Linked DNA regions of Drosophila melanogaster. The protein of the gene in region 4 interacts with the protein of the main gene of each other region in a pairwise test. Each region holds a gene or a part of one and is shown on either strand. Other genes may lie near its edges. The genes, in order: otp, CkIIalpha-i3, E5 and Pbp95.

What was found.
Region 1: the proteins of Pbp95 (region 4) and otp interact in a two-hybrid assay, tested with the Drosophila melanogaster proteins (one large-scale study listed by BioGRID).
Region 2: the proteins of Pbp95 (region 4) and CkIIalpha-i3 interact in a two-hybrid assay, tested with the Drosophila melanogaster proteins (one large-scale study listed by BioGRID).
Region 3: the proteins of Pbp95 (region 4) and E5 interact in a two-hybrid assay, tested with the Drosophila melanogaster proteins (one large-scale study listed by BioGRID).

Annotation. Positions count from the first base shown.
Region 1 is NT_033778.4:20,900,393-20,905,117, forward strand, and holds the start of otp (orthopedia), read right to left. Parts: upstream 3,023-4,725; 5' UTR 2,394-3,022; intron 1,902-2,393; 5' UTR 1,667-1,901; coding exon 1,636-1,666; intron 1-1,635. UniProt on the Drosophila melanogaster protein: May be involved in the development of the central nervous system.
Region 2 is NT_037436.4:708,084-712,370, reverse strand, and holds CkIIalpha-i3 (CKII-alpha subunit interactor-3), read left to right. Parts: upstream 1-2,009; 5' UTR 2,010-2,013; coding exon 2,014-2,061; exon of another isoform or gene 2,062-2,087; coding exon of another isoform or gene 2,088-2,123; coding exon 2,124-2,633; intron 2,634-2,757; coding exon 2,758-2,814; intron 2,815-2,876; coding exon 2,877-3,038; intron 3,039-3,087; coding exon 3,088-3,159; intron 3,160-3,216; coding exon 3,217-3,291; intron 3,292-3,347; coding exon 3,348-3,380; intron 3,381-3,442; coding exon 3,443-3,661; 3' UTR 3,662-3,770; downstream 3,771-4,287. Other genes in the region: CG13896 (uncharacterized protein), read left to right, coding at 614-626, 684-1,429.
Region 3 is NT_033777.3:13,871,863-13,876,656, reverse strand, and holds the start of E5 (E5), read left to right. Parts: upstream 1-1,740; 5' UTR 1,741-2,060; intron 2,061-2,403; 5' UTR 2,404-2,477; coding exon 2,478-3,357; intron 3,358-4,794.
Region 4 is NT_033777.3:8,012,217-8,017,133, forward strand, and holds Pbp95 (PSEA-binding protein 95kD), read left to right. Parts: upstream 1-1,574; 5' UTR 1,575-1,621; coding exon 1,622-2,083; intron 2,084-2,194; coding exon 2,195-2,750; intron 2,751-2,810; coding exon 2,811-3,958; 3' UTR 3,959-4,394; downstream 4,395-4,917. Other genes in the region: CG10435 (uncharacterized protein), read right to left, coding at 1-853; CG2747 (uncharacterized protein), read right to left, coding at 4,464-4,789.

The DNA.
Region 1 (4,725 bases), on a different chromosome or scaffold from region 4:
GCATGGCATGGCATGGAATCTGGGCTGCTCCAACAACTAACCGCAACTGGGAACAGAATCCGCAGCAACCGCAAAACATTTCAATGCAAAGCGGATATGGCAGTGGGGGGTTAAGCGGTGTTCAGCGGGGTTAAGCACACATATTTCACTAGCCTAGGCCACCGCAAAAATGCCGAACGCACAAAGCGAAGCACGCGCAGATATTTCGTGGATGCAACGGACGGGTGGGGGTAAACCTGAAGGGGGTCTGTGCAAATTACAAATGCAATCATGAAATTAATTTAATTAATGCGAGGCTCACGAAAAAAGCGCCCAAACGAAACGCCATTCGAGCTCCTTTCGCTGCATGCAAATTAAGCATTAGTAGGGGAGAGACAATACGAATCCGGGGAAAGTTCTGCCATTTCTTTTGCATGCAAATTGCTCTTAATTGTAAAGGGGTGGTTAGGGGGGCATCCACTTTTGCCCCTCTCGGCCACGCACCCAGTATGCAAATGTTTTTTGGCCTCTCTGTTGTGCGAAACTCGGAAAAAGGCTCACGAAATTTATTATGGCAGACTCCAGCACTGCGGGCAGGATTTGTCCAAAGGATTCCGCACTGCGATTCATTGAAATTTATAGTTCTTCGTGGGCAAATGGAGCTGGCTAAAGTTGAAGCCGGCGAAAACTTTAAAAGCCAACTTTGGCAGTCGCAATCCATGGCAGATAGCAAACCGTCAGATCAGTTTCGCTTGCTAGCCCTTAATTAAACACCCATCTTCAATGGCAACTATGGACATTACGCATACGCCGCGTGCACCGAGCGGCGACAATTGGCGCGTGAAAAATGGCAATAAATTAATAAAAGTAATTAATGGCAACGCTTCGAAGGACGCAAGGATGCTGGCAATAAAAATTGAATATAAACGCGAGCCATAACTCATCCATGGCTGCTGCAGTTGCAGTTGCAAATGCACTTGCAAACTGTATTTTCTGGTAGTGTTGGACGGCTAACAACAAATTGATTGCCAAAATTGAAAGTGCTTGAATCGTTGATCAACAGTGTGGTAAAAATAATTTATTCACCTGCACACACGCACATACATATGTACATATGTGTATTCGGAATTATTAATATATTAATATGAGGACACAAGTACAGTTTGATAATTATGTGCGTGCGCCGGGTGAATGTGTGAATGTAATTCACAATTTGCGGCATATTTAAAAGAGCAATTATATCAATTAACACAAACACACCCACCCACACTCGATTCGGAATGGGCATAGGCATATGGGAATGGGAATCGGAGAAGGTTTGCCGAGTTAGTTAAATACACAACTTAATTATTGCTAAATGCACGCGACACCTGGCGCCATCTGGTTAGACGTCTCAATTATAGGCCATTTAGCAGACATGGGAGATGCGATGGCAATCGCCAGATCGGAAGTACGACTAACTACCCCTCCGATCTTTTGTGGGTGTGCTCAAGAAATTAGTTTAATTATGGCCAGGCGGATCGTATGCCATGGATTAATACACACATTATTATACATTAGCGCAATTCACTTGGCGATCTTAATTGCAACATTATACGCAGCTCCCGCCCGCAGCCCGCACTTAAAACGCTATCGAGGATTGGGGGCGTAACTTACCCAGCACATTGGCCCCAAGATTGTTCAGCATGTTTGCCGAGAAATTGCGGATCGACAGAGTCGACAGTTTGTCGCTGTTTCTGATTGCTGCTCCGAAAGTTAGGATTCGGGATCCAATTTGATTGAATCGGGAATCGATATCGACTGGTGGTGGCGGAATCCCAATGGGAGTTCCTGCTCGTATACTCGTCTATCACAGAACGTTGGAGTTGAAGTTCACCTGCGGTGCAAATTACATCTCAATTGTTCGGTGGAAATGGGTGTGGCTGCAAGTAAACAGATTTGTTATTTTTGGATGGGTGGCTTCTGCTCAACGCAAATATAAACATACATAGGTGACTTTGTGCTTTTTTGGAAGTACTTGTTAATTTTCAATACTAAAAGTTTTTAAATTGACAAGAGAAAATGGTCATTAACTTGTTTAGCAAAGTTTTTGTTTATGTTTATAGTATACAATCATATGCAATAAAACTGCTTACAATGTATCAAGATTTCTGGAATCATAAATGAATGTTTGATTTTTGTCTTGGCAAAACATTTAAGTATACTAATTGCTCGTGTGTTGTGAATATTTGGCCCAGCCCTCTCTTGAACTTTGACCCCTGTCAAATGTCCAGCTATTTGGGTAATTTAACTATTGTGCGACTAACCAGAAAACTAAATCCGTTTCACTTTCCTTAACCGCAGAAACTTCTGCCGAAGTTCGATTGTGTGGGCATTTGCATTGAGTTTTATTGCTCATTTGGCCAAGGACTCACCTGGCTCCTCCTATCGCTCGTCCTTTTTCCGCCTCCTTGCTTTTTGTGTATGCCACAGGGTTATGGGCTGGGGTCAGAGTTCAGGCCAGCAGACGATCAAATTGCCATAGTAAAATTAATTAAATGCCTTGACCATAAAAAAGCCAAAGAAATTAAATCCAAGTCACTTGGCCGGAAGTTGAAAAGTTTCCTTAGCTCCCACACACACACACACACACGCGCACAGCTGGCACACACACACAATCGCACTCACAGACACGCAGACATGCACAGCTTAGGGACACGCAATGAAACGGAAGTCGAATCGTTTATTGATGAACTGTTTGACCAACTGACAGCCGGACACTGTCCGGCGGAGGACACGGCTTGCTTCCACCTTCGGGTGTGGTCACTCGTCCTTGTTTTCTACTGTTTAATTGATAGCATTTTTACACTTCGGGCACATTTTCACTTAGTTATTCCTTGGCACTTCCCAGTTAGATCAATTCGGTTAATGGTCTCTGCCAGTGCGACGGCTTTCTAGGCACTAGCAAACGGAAACGGATCGAATTGTTTCGGATCGCACTATTGTATCGTATGGGAGCTGTACGCCGTATACGTAGCGCTGCTCGCTTGCATTTGAGGGCAGTGCGAAAAAATCAAAGCGAATTGACTACGAAACCTGATAACTTCGACAACAACGACTGCGCACTGGCGCCGCATTCAATCGCCACCCCCTCGCACAATTGACGGTTAAGTCAAGCGTTATCTCTGCCAGCGGGCTTATCTCTCGCATTGATTTGCAAAAATCGCAAAGAGCACACACCGTGCCAGTGCCCCGGGCGGGCGAGGAAAGGAGACAGCTAGCTGAGCCCACAGCCATCTTGCCGTCGAGCCAAGCATGCTGACTCGTTCGCGCTTGCCCTGCCAAGTGGTTGCTAGAGCGGGTCGGCTATACTCGCTGTGCGTAGGCCAGACCACGCCCTCAATGCAGACCAACGAATGAGGGAACTCGGGAGCTTGTGGCCCCGAACGATAGCACTTTTTGGCGCCCTCGGCGATAACAGGTCCTGCCGCCTATCGATAGGCGGGCTATCATCGATGCCGAAACAGACCTCGATTCCCCTCGAAAAACTTCAACTATACTCCACAGCTGGTCGCGTTGGCAACCGGCGCTTGGGCCACAGTTATTGCTGAAAGTCCACTCCTCCCAAAAATGCGCCTTGAATTCTTACTCAGCGTTGTTGATGCCACGTGTCAGCTTTCAGCCTCACCTGTTGTCGTTTATTAGTTTTTGTTTCCGTTTTTTTTTTTTGCCCGTCTTTTTGCTGGAGGGGAAGTACCTCCGACATTTGGCGGAATTTTATAATATTTTGCATGCTGCACAAACGTTGAATTAGCCAGACAACGGAATGCCGGGCGAAATAAGAGTTTGTCATGGCAACCGCAATTCAAAGGATTTCCACCCCACTTCCTGCGCCCAGTTCAAAGTCCTCCCACCGCCCCTCAAAAGTCTGCAAATTATGTTGGCCTTCTCCCTCCGACAAATACATACAGCTAAATCGGGGGCGTTAATTAAAAACTCTAGGTAGCAATTAAAACCACAAGAAGAATGCAAAAAATCGCAGCAGTTGTAGTTTGTTTTGCAATGAGCATAATTCAAGGTTCACACTTGTGCGGGGTGACAAACGTTCTAAAATAATTTAAAAAATTTAATAAGTGGCGTAATAAATTTAGATTGATAATTGTACACAACCTATTAAGTCTTGTATTTCACAAACTTGCATACTAACGTGTGAAATACTTATAACAATCCCACACAAATGTCGAAAACATCGAACAGAAATTTTTCTGTTAGTGTATTATAAAGTAAACAAGCCGAATAAATCGTGATAACATCTCAATTCGTTGTTGGGCTCACTTATTAGAGCATATGCATCACTTTTCATTTTTTTTCCTTTTCTCACATGAGGTACATAAAAAAACTTCGAGTGTGTTAATTAATCAAAGGCGTTATCGGCAGCAAAAAGAAAAATAAATTTATGGGAAATGTGCGGCGTAGACTTGTTGAATTTCGCCATATTAGCCAAGGATTAATCATCTAAGGAGTCTCAATTAGACCGCATTTTGAATGCCTGGCATGAGCATGTCGTAAATCACTTTGGCCAAATCCGGGCAGCAGATAGTGACTGTGACCAGGACAGCTGCGAAATCCTTGAGTTGCCGGGACCGGCATACCAAGAAGCATGGCGGAAAAAAAAAGCGCAGCTCAAATGCAAAGGATTCCGAATCCTTCGGCATGCACGACGTTCTCTTTTGACTTTGTTTGGCAATCGTTTAAGCCCGGAAAGTC
Region 2 (4,287 bases), on a different chromosome or scaffold from region 4:
TAATCTTATATAATTTGCTTAACAAATTTATTACTACAAAAATCAATATTGGTTTATTAAACTTTTTTTTACTGTGTATACTCGAGTATACGGTACCCGGTTATTTTACATTTATACTACTGCGCCCCTATCGACGAACTGTTTGGGCGACATCTAGCGTCTGTAAATGAAAGTCGCATTGCCGGTAGATGGCAGCACAGTAATAGTTATGTGCTTATTTGTAATGTATGTAGGTCCATTTCAATATTAACTTTCTATAATTAAGTTGCGGGAGGTCTCAACCTGCGGCAAGTACTCACTAAATCCTTACTGCGAGATTTTTAAATTCAAAAACTACATAATGGCAATTAAATGAGGCTAAGATGAGTATTTATATAAAATAAATGTTCTCTTCGGTAGCGAGTATTGATATAGATTAGGCAAAAAATCCATTTTCAAAAAACGAAAGCCTATTCCCATCTTTGTTTCGTGCAACCTTTTCGATAGTTATCGATAGAGAAAAATCGAAACACATATGTTTGGATCATGATACCTTTCTCTTACGCCGTCCGAAAGAACTGGCAGCCTGGGAAACAAAACTTATTCGTCATCAACTGAATAGCTATTGTAAACAATGGATACAAAGTGTGAGTAAAAAACATAAATTCAAGAAGAAAACTATATATATACTCACAATAAGCCAGCTTACGAAAGGAAGTGGTGTACATCCAACACCCGACTTTTATTGTCCCTTTACAATGAACGCCAAGCTGATTTTCGGGATCCGAAAAAAAAGATCAAGGACATTTGGGGGGAAATGGTCGTTGCCCTTGAAAGCCAGGGAATGACAGATATCGATGCAGTTCAGCTGGATCGAAAATTTAGGAACCTGAAGAAGACCTACTATAGCATAAGGAGCAAGCTCCTGGCGAAGGTACCGCATTTCCATCCAAACTGGCAGTTCTACGACGAGATGTCCGAAATTCTAAAGGATGACCCTGTCCCACCGCCGCAGGAACTTTCCATCAATGATTTCGATGAAGCGGTGGTCAGTTTGGAGACCGGTATCCAGAAAGGCAGGATGCTGTCTATGGGCACCACTGTCAGCACAGTTATTCCCCGCCAAATGCGTACGTATCGCAAACGAAAGCAGCCATTGGATGATGTCGATATCAAGATCCAGAAGGACTACGAAGTGCAAACGGATCGGCAGCGGGATGGGGAACAGTTTACAGTCTTTAATGCCGCCGAACCCAATACTAATGATTTGTCAGAGTCTGCGGCCGAGATCTCCATCAGCAACGACGAAGAGGCATTGAGACACCTAAGAGCGCTCCAGGAGTACGCCATGATCCATGATAATTTCAGGGCCATAGGACTGCTAATACAGGTGGAGCACGCCATTCAATATCCAGCCCAGATCAAGGACTTCGAGGTGGATCAAACGTAGTGTCCTTATAAACAAGCACGTAATCTACTGGAAAAGCAAAGATAAGATAAGGCACATACCTAATTTATACCTCTATATTTAAGATTTTAATATTTTATAATATATATACTTTAATTTACTTTATTTAAATATGGTTCATGCACTTGCTAACACCACTGAAAAATGAATCTGGTTCTAAACAAATCTGGCTTGGGTATTGGCTAAAATATTGCGCTGTGGCAATACCGTTTTCTAAAACCTATAGTTACAACAATCTAAAGGAATTTCACAAGAAAAACCAACATTTCTGAAATCTTATTAGTATTTTGAAGAGTAACAAAGTGAATCCTGCCGAGATCAACGCCGATCTGTAAGCAAGTTCGTCTTGGAAATTGACAAAAACCGAAAAATCTGGCAGCACCAATATGACACTAAAGGTTCAAGAAAAGACCTTCGGTTGCACAAAATAGAAAATTCAAACATAATTGAAAAGAATTAACTAGTATCGTGAAAACATGTAATACAGTTAATAAAAAGTTATAGTATTATGCAATATTGATCAAATGAAGCAAACTTTATCGATAACTTCGAAATTGCAACCCTAAATGCATCGGATGGGCAATACCAATCTGAAGTCTACAAAAAAGCATATTGTGGAAGTCTAAGTTTTGTTAAATTTATGGAAAAGGAATCCAATTTATCGGACAACTTGCAGTCCCGGTTATTTGCACTGGGTCCTGCCCCGCCAGGATTTCGTCCACCGGATGCTACCGCCTTTGCCACAGCGGAGTCAAATCTTCGTAATGCCATCCGCTACCTTAATGATACCTATGGCGAGCTCGATCAGCTGCGCACTGTCATCCAGAAGGAGAAGAATAACTCGAAGCGTACGTCCTACAAGGCGCAGTCCATGATGCTTGCCATGCAAGTGATACGTTTCAAAGGACTTATTGGGAAGTACAGGGACATTCTGATTGGCCTGCAGGATGCCGAAATCATCAAGGTCAAACAATACATAGAGCAAATGGTGGAGATGAGGAACAAAATCCAGGCAAAGACCGATCCCACACAGCGCGAGTTCCAAGTGGGCAGCTCAATCTCACTGGTGCAGGAACAGCGCAAGACCAAGAGAATCTGCCGCAGGTGGCGGGATCGCCTGGTCCAGCTGACGGAGGCCAAGATGGACAAAACTGAGCAACTTACTGAGAAACCAAAGCTGATCAATGTAAGAACCGTTACAAAAGAACTTATACATATTTTCATTGCGCTTCCAATATCCATCCATGTTTTCATGAAAACTCTCATCGAATTCTGATCGAATTTCGACTGAACTCGATATGCTTTTTTAGAAACCTAGAAATATGTTAAATGCAAAAACCAACAAGTGGAAGGAAGCTGTAAGCTTGGTGAGTATAGCCAAACATATAAAGGATAAGTTAAATGCTAGTAAATATAAAACTAATCCTAGCAACAAAGCGGTCTAATTAAAAGTGGCTGTAAGAGGTGTGAATACCTAAGAAAGCTGACTAAGAATCGTCCATCCAAACTTTGTAAGGTGTGTAAAAAATGGTCTGATGATGAAAAAGCAAAAGCGGCAGGAAATAAGAAAGCCAACAAAACGCCAATAATGGTATGACACTATTGAAAAGTCGCAACATAAATTAATACTATTATTGCAGGCGAAGTCGAAAAAATTAGAAGTACGCGTGCGTACGGATTCTGAAGAAGCTATAATTAAAATAGAGATAGAGGTGGGTGTGTACAAGTAGATCAACAGTAACATTAGCACTTATTATTAATTTTCTTAGCATGGTGAATTTACCGATGAAGAGGAAATTGGGTCATTGGAAAAGGAAACGACCTTAAAAGATGAGATCAAGGAGGTTAGTTGTTTCTTCAACCTGAAAAATGTGTTTAATTTTGGAATGTTTTTTTTTAGACTGTTGAATCTCACGACACGGCAGCAGTTGAGGTAAGTAAACAGGTCCTTGGACTGTAATAGAACTAACGTAACGATAAATGACTCAATGACAGGAGGAAAATGAGACCAGTCAAGACGATGTGGACCCCAAAGTAGTCGCTTCCTTACAAAATTCACTGAAATCCATCGACTGTAAAAATATGGCCTTGGCCTACGTGAAGGTCTTACAGGAGTACGCCATGTTAAATGATAACTATCGGGCCATTGGACTACTTACTGAAGTTGAAAAATCAGTTTTAAATCCGCCTCAGAACGAGGATTTCGATCTATGATCTTATTGACGCCACAAAAATAAAGTTTAGTTTTTATATGTAATCTACAATTAAAATGTTCGTGTGTCCTGCCTTTGAGAGTCAAGACCCAAAATGTGTAAATAATTGTAATATGCGAAAAGAGTTTATAGAGTGGAATAACCAACAGGGTCCCACTTAAATGTGGTAAACGTTAAATTAAGCACTAGATATAATTTGAGCAAAAATAGCTTTATATATATGTATGTGTACATATCAAACCAGTTTCAGCTCAGATTAGGTGGTAATGCGATTTGTGTTTTTCGGCATGTTAAACCAGTTATAGCTGCTTTAGCGAGAGAATATTTACTCTCGATCCGAAAATAAATCCCATACCGCGAACGAATACCACCACGATCGGAATCGGAACGTGGGAAGTCGGTTTAGATCGCGAGAGAAAGAGCGGAATGTCTCTCGCAAAGATACGGTTTTTGCCGCTCCGCCAAACGGAGGAGAGTCCAGATCTCTGCAATGTTCGGACCGCATGCTCAGTCATTGAGTTGCACTCGCTCTGGCAACTTTAAACACGTGCGACCGCACATATTTTCTGTTTAATGTGCCTAAAAAACTGCTGTATATTTTCAACAAAGTGTACTTTATGCTCTAAG
Region 3 (4,794 bases), 5.9 Mb from region 4:
AATACGCCCACAAAATCATTGATTGCCGATCGATAACCTTTTGCGGTGATGGAGCATCCCATAAAGTTCTCGTCCCAGCTCATTGTCTGACTAATTAAATGATTTATCCCGAATCGTGAGGCAGAGGAGCTGGAAAGGAGATGGGAAAGAGTAAAAACCAATTACAATTACCGCACCCAGAGGTGCCACACTCACAGATATAGATATATGTATACGTGTATACATGAGTGCATCTGCGGCAGCAAAGCTGCTGCCCCACCGACAAGCAACGGCCTTATCTAGATGCATACAAATCCAGCCAAGCGCACGTCAATTTATTTGCCAACTCTCGCCTCCTTTCTGGCCAACATCCATATCCATTCATGGCCAAAAGGAGGAGAATCGCATGTATTTACCTATGAGAAGGCTGCGAAGTTGGCGCTGCATGTTTTATGCCTCCTCCTGCATCTTTAACGAGGTGTTTATTTTCACAACTCACAGCCAGCGGATGAGGATGCGGATAGGGATGGGGATGGGAATGGGGATGGGGATGGGTATACAGATACTCGGATGACCACGCACAGATACAGATGCAGATACGTTCCCTTCCCAGCACGCTGTATCTGTATCTGTGAGATTCGCGCAGTTGCAGCTCGCCGAAGGTGTAGAAACCAAGTTACCGCCCATTTTCGTGTCCAAATGCTTTTGGCCAACATGATGCAGATGCCAATTCAGAATGGTAGAATGGCCAAGCGGCGGGGGGAGGGAAAGTGGTTTATAGCCAGCACTGACGACGGGGCGTCTAAGCTATATAAGCGATGACGTTGATTCCACTGCACAGTGGTATCGGCTCGATATCCTTTGAAAAATGCGTATTTTCTACTTTTGAGTTATGTACAAATTTGAACACTTTTTAATATCGATTTTCCAGTAGATAGTAAATAATTTAATACATGAAAACAATTTAAAAACGGTTACTGATGAAAGATAAACGTTTAAGCCTTAAATATTTCAATGAATAAATACAATTCAATTAAATAAAGTTTCAATTTTTTTTTATTGTTAGTATTTGCATAATTAAAAGAGGGCACAGTTCGCTTTTCAATTTTAAATGTTATATTTATTATATTTATTTTTAATCATCGAAGACCTACTTCCTATCCACTGTTCGGGTGCACCACCCCCGTTCCCCCTCCTACGCTCCAACAAACTGGCCAACCCGCTTGGCACTAAAACCACAAACGCTTTAATGATGCTGTTTTGTTTAGCGCAAATTGTTTGTTTCGCTGTCATAAACTGGTGCGAAAAATGGCCAAGAGAGCGACAGAGAGAGAGAGAAAAAGAGAGAGATTGGGGCCCCTCACACACCCACACACCAACAAGCCCAGAGAGCGGGAGAGCGAGCGAGAGAGGAGGTGGCTCCACTTGGAGCCAAGCAGGTTTTCGGAATATCCACTGAACTATTGTTGCGCTGCTTTGGCGCACGCGCACCGAGCCACGTGTGCGAGCGAGACGCCAGCAGTATTGCTGCGCTGGAAGTACAAGCAAAGGAAGAAGAAGCACACTCGAACTGGCCCCACAAACTTTTTGCGGCTTTTTCCAACGCGACACTCGAGCTAAAACGCTCAGCGTGAGAGCCACGCAGCGATTCGCCGACGCCCCCGCCAAAAATCAGGACAGAAAGAGAGAAAGCGAGAGAGAGACAGAGGTTGCGAGCGGCGAAGTGGAGCCAACAATTAGACGCCTTTAGACGCTCCATAATGCTAATGGCGTTGACAGTGCTCATCATCATCGCAGCGCGGCCACCGCAATCGTTTCGTTACCGGGTAGCCGGCATAACCGTTAACCGTTAACTGATACCGCCACCGCCACCGTCAATCGCCAATAGTCAATCGCCAACCATCAATCGCCGCCGTCAATCGTCCAGCGAAGCGGTACGGTCACGCTCCAATCGCCGCGTTGCCGCCGCTCCAGTTACAGTTACAGTTTATCAATGTCACGCCGACGGATGCCAACCGCTGGAGCATCGCAGATACAACGCTACGTAGCTATATAGCTATAGCTATCTGATCGGAAAAACAGTGCGTGTGTGCTTATCTGATATCTAGTAACCATTAACCGATGTACGCGATCATGTTTCCATAGCACCAACCCATTTATTGGGAGCTTCGATCAGTACAACCCTTTTTCCGTTTCCGTTTCTATTCAGTTCAATTCCATTTCAATTTCCATTCCCTTTGATTTTAGTAGGATTTTTACCGTTTTATTTTATTCCTAAAACTTTTAGTTGAGCATTATTCTTTTATTTACTGATTTATCCCGTTCGAAAATACAAAATTTTTTTTTTCAAAAAAGTCAAATATGGAATGGAAAAAATGGAATTTAAGGCCTACAAGTGTTCTTATAATCTACTTCGACTTGCAGAGACTTCGAATCGGGAAGTTTAAGAGGAGGGAAAGTGATTCATTTGTTTTTCCAATCAACGAAACCCCTACCAAATGGTCACCTGCGGCCGGCAAACGTTCAACATGCTGCCCATGGCGCCGACGAGTCCTTTTGTGAGCAGCAGCTCCTCGGTGGCCGCATCCTCGACTTCCGTTTCCGCCAGCAGTACCGTTTCCGCCTCCGCGAGCAGCAAGCCCAAGCTGGCCTTCAGCATCGACTCGATTGTGGGCGAATCCTCGACGAGATCGGCTCCACTAAGGGTCAGTGTGATATCTTCGCCGCCGCCGCGCAGCGAAAGTCCCGCTTCGCCAACGAACACGAACAACAGTGGGCGCCGGACGCCCAGGGGCTATATCTACTGCCGCAGAAGGGATTCGCTGGATCGATCGCGCAGTCCTCAGAGATCACCGGTTAGCCGGTCGCCATCGCCCCCCAATGCAGGAGGCAATCCGGCAGCGGCCGGGAATACTGCAAAGTCCGGGGATCCATCGTCGGGAACGGGAAATCCTCCAACCCTCATCCGTCCGTTGCCTCTGCCGGCGCCAAATCTAGCTTTAATTGGGAACCGCACCTCACCGAACGCCATGGCGGTGCGCATGGCGGGTCCGCCCCACCCGCCGTCGCAGCCACCGCCGTTCCTTGCCGCCCAGTTCCAAATGGCTGCTGCACTGGCTCATCATCACCAGCAGCAACAGCAGCAGCAACAACAGCAACTTCCGCCCGTGCCAACTGGACCGCCACATGGTCCACATCCGCATCTGCCGCCCGGCCAAATTCCACTTGGAATCTTTCCCGGCGGACCGCATCCCGGGCATCCTCCGCCCCACGGACACCATCCGTTCGGGAGTGCGCCGCATCTGATCCGGGATAGCTATCCGTTGTATCCATGGTTGCTCAGCCGACACGGACGCATTTTTCCACGATTCCCAGGCAGTAAGTAATCACACTGTTTTAAATATATCTATTGTTTATTACAATATTTTCAATAAGTTCAGAGTTCAGAGAAGCTAACCGGTTTAGCAAGCGGTACTTTCATATGTATATAAAACCGCTAAAAATTATTTCTATAAATTGAAAAATATAATTTTTATGCATAATCATCTAAGCTAACAATTATTTGTAATAAATTTACTGCAAAATTAATAACAGTTTATATAACAATAATACATATCATTTAATTTAATATTTACCCTATTCTGATAATAAGAGTACATCTCTCTTTTACGGATTATTAGAAAGATAGTTGTTACATATATATTTTTCATATTTGAACATTAGAATATTATGATAGTTTACGGTCGGTTTCTTCTTCTGGAGATAGCAACCACCCCTTTTGTTGGTTATTTTTCGCTATAACGAGTTTTCCGCATTCATTATAGCCGTTTCAAATGGCCGCTGAGTGTTGCGAGCGACAGAGAAAAAGAAACCACACCTTAAGTCATATTCGAAGCCCAGCACCATTATAGTAGAGAGGACCCCAATCAAGCAATTATTCAGTTATCGCTGTTGTTGCCGCGCAGCTCCATATAATTAAAGTTAAATAAGCAAATGGCAAACATTTATTACAAGTTAATTAGACGTGTATCGGGCTCATCATCATCAGAGGGAGCGGGACGGAGAATGGGAGCGAACAGGAAGGGGGGAATGTGGAGGGAACCGAACCCATTTTGATAACTATTTCCAAACAAATTACATTTTAATTAAATTGTTTAAACAACATTACACACATCGTTAGGTCAAGCAGCGTACCTAAATGGCCAGCCAAGTGTGTGAGTGTGTGTTTAGCATTTATTTGCTCTATTTATACTTTTTCTCTTCACTCGAAATTACCATTAATGGCCAACAGACGGCGCCAGTTACTCATGCGGCGGGCCCATGCGGCGTATGTGTAACGTACGAAAAGTGCAACCATTGAAATGTTAATGCGTTTTTAATTGAGGTTTTGGGGCAACCAAGCAAAGAACCGAGAGGAATGGTAAAAAAAAAAAACTGGCAGATAGAAGCGAAGAGCCACCGCAAAGCGCATCTCAAAAACATTGTCATTTATTACGGTTTAACCACTTTTTTCTACCATTCCGCTGCTCTCATGATTACCATTTGAATTTCCAGGCCATGTTGGTATCCATGTTTTTTTTCGGCCGGTTAAATATAATAATAATTTTCGGCACACTCACACGCCTTTCACCTGCTTAAGTGTACATGTATCCCCGTTACGCCTTAATTATGTTGTACTCCGTTTCATTATTTTCTCCCTTTCTACTTGTTTTCCCATTTCCCGCCGCTCCTTCTCTTTTTTCTCACTTTTCTCCGCGCCGCCTGTAATTTTCGCTTGATTTATGAACGTGAAATGTCAATGTTTCGCATAACGAT
Region 4 (4,917 bases):
TTGGCTCGCCCCTGTCCGCATTATCATCACAGTGAACATGGAAATTGACGCTGTCGAGCGTCGCTTTGGTCTCCGCCAGCGTAGTCATTGCTAGCTCCACCGGAGCTGGCACTTCATTGCCAGATTGCTCCTCCTTGGAATGATCCTCATGCGGCGGCTCCTGCTGCTGCTGATCCTGCTGCTGTTGATCTATGCGCTTCTCCAGCTGTGTCTGGTGCAGAACCTGAGCTAGTATGTCTAGATCGTTGATGGTCTTCAGCTCGATATTGTCGAAAGGTGTGGAGTTCATATTGTACTCAAAGTCTGCGTAGTTTAGGGAGCTGTTACGCTTGTGCAGCGTCTGCGGACTGACCACTGGAGTGGTGCTCAGAATGGTGGGCTGCAAGATATTGTGAAAATTACACACACTTATTGACTTTGGTTCGTGGGAAGAGTCGCGTGACTCAGCGGTGATTGGAGGTGGTGGCTGCTGTTGCTGTTCCTCGTCCCTCTGCTCGGGCTCGTTCTTCTTTCGCTCCTTCTCGTCCTCATCCGATGACAAGTCGTCCGCACTAGGATAATCAACTGCTCCAAGCATCTCCTTCTGTCTCGCCTCCAGCGCCCGTTGGCGTTCCTCCTTGCGACGCTCCTGGCGACTGGCTCGCTCCTCGCGCTGCTGGCGACGCAGGTGGCGCCATCGTTGCGCCTGACTCAGCACGGCCCTCTCCAGCTGACAGTCATACTGGTAATCCGGATGATCCGTGTAGAAACCTTCTCGGAATTGCGACAGGCGATTGAGGGTCGCCTGCGGCAGGTGGTACACGGCAGGCGGTGGTTTGTAGCGCTCGACTATCTTGACCGGGACATCTTCCATGTTATGCTAGCGCATTCACCACGAATTTTGTTAATTAAGTTGCTACTACGCGTTTTTTTTTCTCTGTTCTCTTTTGTTGTTTCTCGAGCAGCAGCGATAGGCGATTGGTATTGTCATCGGTCACTGCTGATTCGCCAATTTCGACTAGTGTTGAATATCGTTTTTCCTTGAGATGCTCACCTAATTAGGTGTACTCAGGCTTGGTTGCGAGTTTGACAACAGCTGATATTAAATCTACCCAAATTTTCGCCAATTTGAGGGCGTATGAAAGGCTTAACAAAAATCGGAATACATTAATAGTTTCTACAGATCACGTTATACAACATAAAAAAATTAAAATTACAAAACATTTTGACATACTAAATATTTTTTGTTACCAAGGGTATCATTATTTAGTGCATGGCGGATAGTTTTAAGATCTTTATTCTAAAAAACTATTTTTGACCAAACTTTTGTTTAAAATAATCCCGCGCTTTTACAACTGAGTTTATTGAAATCATGTTCTTTCCACTAGATAAAACCAAAGTTTCTGGGAATAAATAAGGACGAAAAATGGCAGTTATGATATCTATTTTATCTCTATCTATTCTTTAATAGGTCTTAGTCCAATAATACAGCAATTTCCTATGTAATGTTCAATGTTACTTTATTTGCAGGGTATTAATTTGCTTAATGCAGTTCGACCATTGCAACCATTTTATCGATAGTTGATGCCGGGAATAGTTCATCGCTAAAGTCAAAGGCAATGTAAACAAAACAACCTGAGCAATGGACGATGCCGATGATCTGCGCATAAACCAGCAGCAGCTTATGGACGAGATTTCGGCCCTCTTGCAGAACACAGCGAAGCCGAGCGCCGCCAACGCACTGCAGCTGAATCAGGAGCTCCAGCGCCGGCTCATGCAAGTCCGGACCAAAATTCTGGCCATGTTACAAGTAGTAAGGGCCCGCTTCTCTCGGAACGAGGACATCCTGGTGCGCCGGCTGCGACCTCGTTCCCATTTCGGCCCGAATTCCCTCAATCTTAGCGGGGCGATCCTGCGGAAGGGCACGTTTCGCTTCAAGGGCAACCTGTTTTTCCGAGACATCGATGGTCGAAGCTGTCCTAACAACGAGGATTACGAGGCGCGGTGCCACACGGAGATGTTTCCCACCGACTTTGACATGCACTCCAGACATGTATGGACATTGCTAGACAAAAAGAATGTGATAATGGGTATAAAACAACAGGTGAGTGGACCCTTCGAGTGGTTCAGATTGATTGCCAAATACCCATTTAATAGCAATGAAAAGTTAAATAGCAATACTAATATTCTGTTTTATAAAAAACTCAATTCTCAGTTACTGGAGCATAGGGCCCACAGTACGAATGCGCTGCCCAGCGGAAGCCTGAAGCGCAAGCCAATCGAGCGACACTTAAGTACACTGGTAAGTCTGCTGGCAACTGCGGATAGTAGCTTCAGCATCGACTGGAACCAGATCAGCACCCTGGACTTGGAATATCGGCACTCACCATATAGCTGTGAGGCAATGTGGAGGGTCTACTTAACACCAGATCTCAGGCGAGACGATTGGTCACCCGAGGAGGACGAAACTTTACTGGCGGTGGCCACTGCGAACAGGATGCAGAACTGGGAGTTGATAGCCGCGTCGCTAGACCGACGTTCCGACTATCAGTGCTTCGTACGCTTTCATACCGCCCTACGTTTTCTGCTGGAGCCAAAGAACAGCCACCGCTGGAGCGAAGAGGACAACGATAAACTAAGGGCGATCGTTGATAGGAATACGGCAAACAGTGTAATAAACTGGAAAAAAGTCGTGGAATACTTCCCGGACAAGTCCAAATCAACGCTGATTGGTCGTTACTACTACGTGTTGCATCCTAGCATCAGTCACGGTAGGTACCCAATATATTGAATAATTTTTAATTTATTATTTCGCTCCTTTGAAACTGCAGAACCCTTCACTACCAAGGAGGACATGATGCTGTTCGCCGCCGTTGAAGAGTACAATGGAAAGTTTCACTGTTTTCCGCGTTCTCTTTTCCCAAACCGGTCGTTAACCCAACTCCGAACTCGCTACCACAATGTACTGGCACAACGCAACAAGACCGACTCCTGGTCCGTTCAGGACGACACACGGCTGATGAGCTTCGTAACGCAATACGGGGCTTCCCAGTGGCTTAACTGTGCCACGTTCTTGGGCAATCACACGCGGACCAGCTGTCGAACCCGCTTCCTAGTCATCAAGAAATTCCTTGAACAAAATCCCAATGCAAAAGTGGAAGACCTGCCACGCCGCCGATCGAAGAAGGTGTCCTTGGTTAACTCTGATAACTGGGCGCAGCGTTTGCAAGAGTGGCAAGAGGACCCAGAGTCATTAGTTAATGATAACCCCCCGAAAGGAACTCGGGTGCGCGGTCCCAAATCGAAAAAGGCTAGGATCGAGCGACAGGCAGAGAGTTTCTCAAGACTTTCGAAAGTTGATATAGAGTTCTGCAACTTCTTTAAGTTTAGTTATAATCTGACGCTGAGCACTCCAAAAACTTTTCCAGTTCCAAAAGACGTTTATAACCTTGCCTACGTGATCAGAGCTCTTGCATATAAGCCACCAATTCGACCCTCGCTCTTACAAAACATATTTATGCCAAATGATGTGCTTAAGTGCTACAACAGCATGATCCGAAACCTTCCGGACGAGGAAGGTGATATGAAGAGCCCACTTTTGCCACCCAACTGGTCAACTATGATGGGGTTTCGAGCCTTATGCATTCTTTCCGGAGATTGTCGCAAGGATACGGAAACACGTAGCTTCGAATACAATGAATCTTTACCACCCATCCAGCTTTTCCGCAAGCGGTTGCAAGCTCTTTTCTATCGTACCACTCTTCTCAGCCGCTTGGAATCACAACTCTTTACGGACTTACCATCAGCATTAGTTTCTTTACCACGCCCCAAACACGATTATGCAAAAATGGGTACACATGTTGAATTAATCGATCCAGAGCCGGCACCACAGAATGATCTAAAATCCGAGCCGCTTAGCGAGAATGAAGTGATTAATACAGTCAAGCAGGAATTGGAAATGGAATATACAGTTCCATAGGAACTAATAAGTAAATATGTAATATTGATTAATTTAAGCTTTAAAAGTTTATATTTTTTACTTCATATCGCGTTATATAATAGTTCATTACAATGGCTAACAAATAATTTATAAACTTGTAGGTACTTTTAACGTATTTCACATACAGCAAAATCAAATGCCGGACCGATGTGCATTAGGGTGGCTCATTTTTCTGATTGTAGTTTAAAAATATTGCTTAGGTTTGAAAAAAGGTATATTTATAGCAAAACGCCCTGCAAAACGAAACAATTTAATACACAAGCAGTCAAAAAAACTAATGTATATTTTAGTTGCCGTTTTACAATCCTTTCAAAACTTTTATCCCGGATATTTAGTTATTAGAGCAAAATTGTCTAAACCTTATTTTCAATATAAAAAGAACCGATCCATCCTATTGTTCATGCGGTAACAATGTATTACAAAGCATTTTTATGATAGCACTAGCAGCTTGAGAACTATTTTGTTCGATTCCCGGGGGAGGCGCTCATTGGAAGTTACTGAAATCCGTCTTCAGCTTGATCGTAGGCTTCTGCGGCTTGGCCAGCAGGTTCCTCTGCGCCTCGCTTGCTTTTTGGGCAATGTTAATCGACTGCTGTTGGCTGCGAATGGCCGCTTCTAGTTTTTGTCGCAGTTCCGGTGTTTGACCCATCAGGGCCTTAAACTCCTGCGGATATTTCGGACCGATCTTCAGTAGCCACTGCAGCGCCTGGTCGTGCAGCTGCCGTTGATACTTTGGCAGCGTCCGGAGTCGACTGGGTTCCGCTAGGAAGCCAATGAGCACAGGGACCAACAGAGTCAGCATCTGAATATCTGTGAAGTGTGGACAAGGAACAATTAATATTATAATCCTAAGTTTAAGGGCTTGCTAAACGGAACATCAATTCACAGAGATGGACAAGTCGCTTCATCCCGTACTTTTACTTCATACGTGCAACATT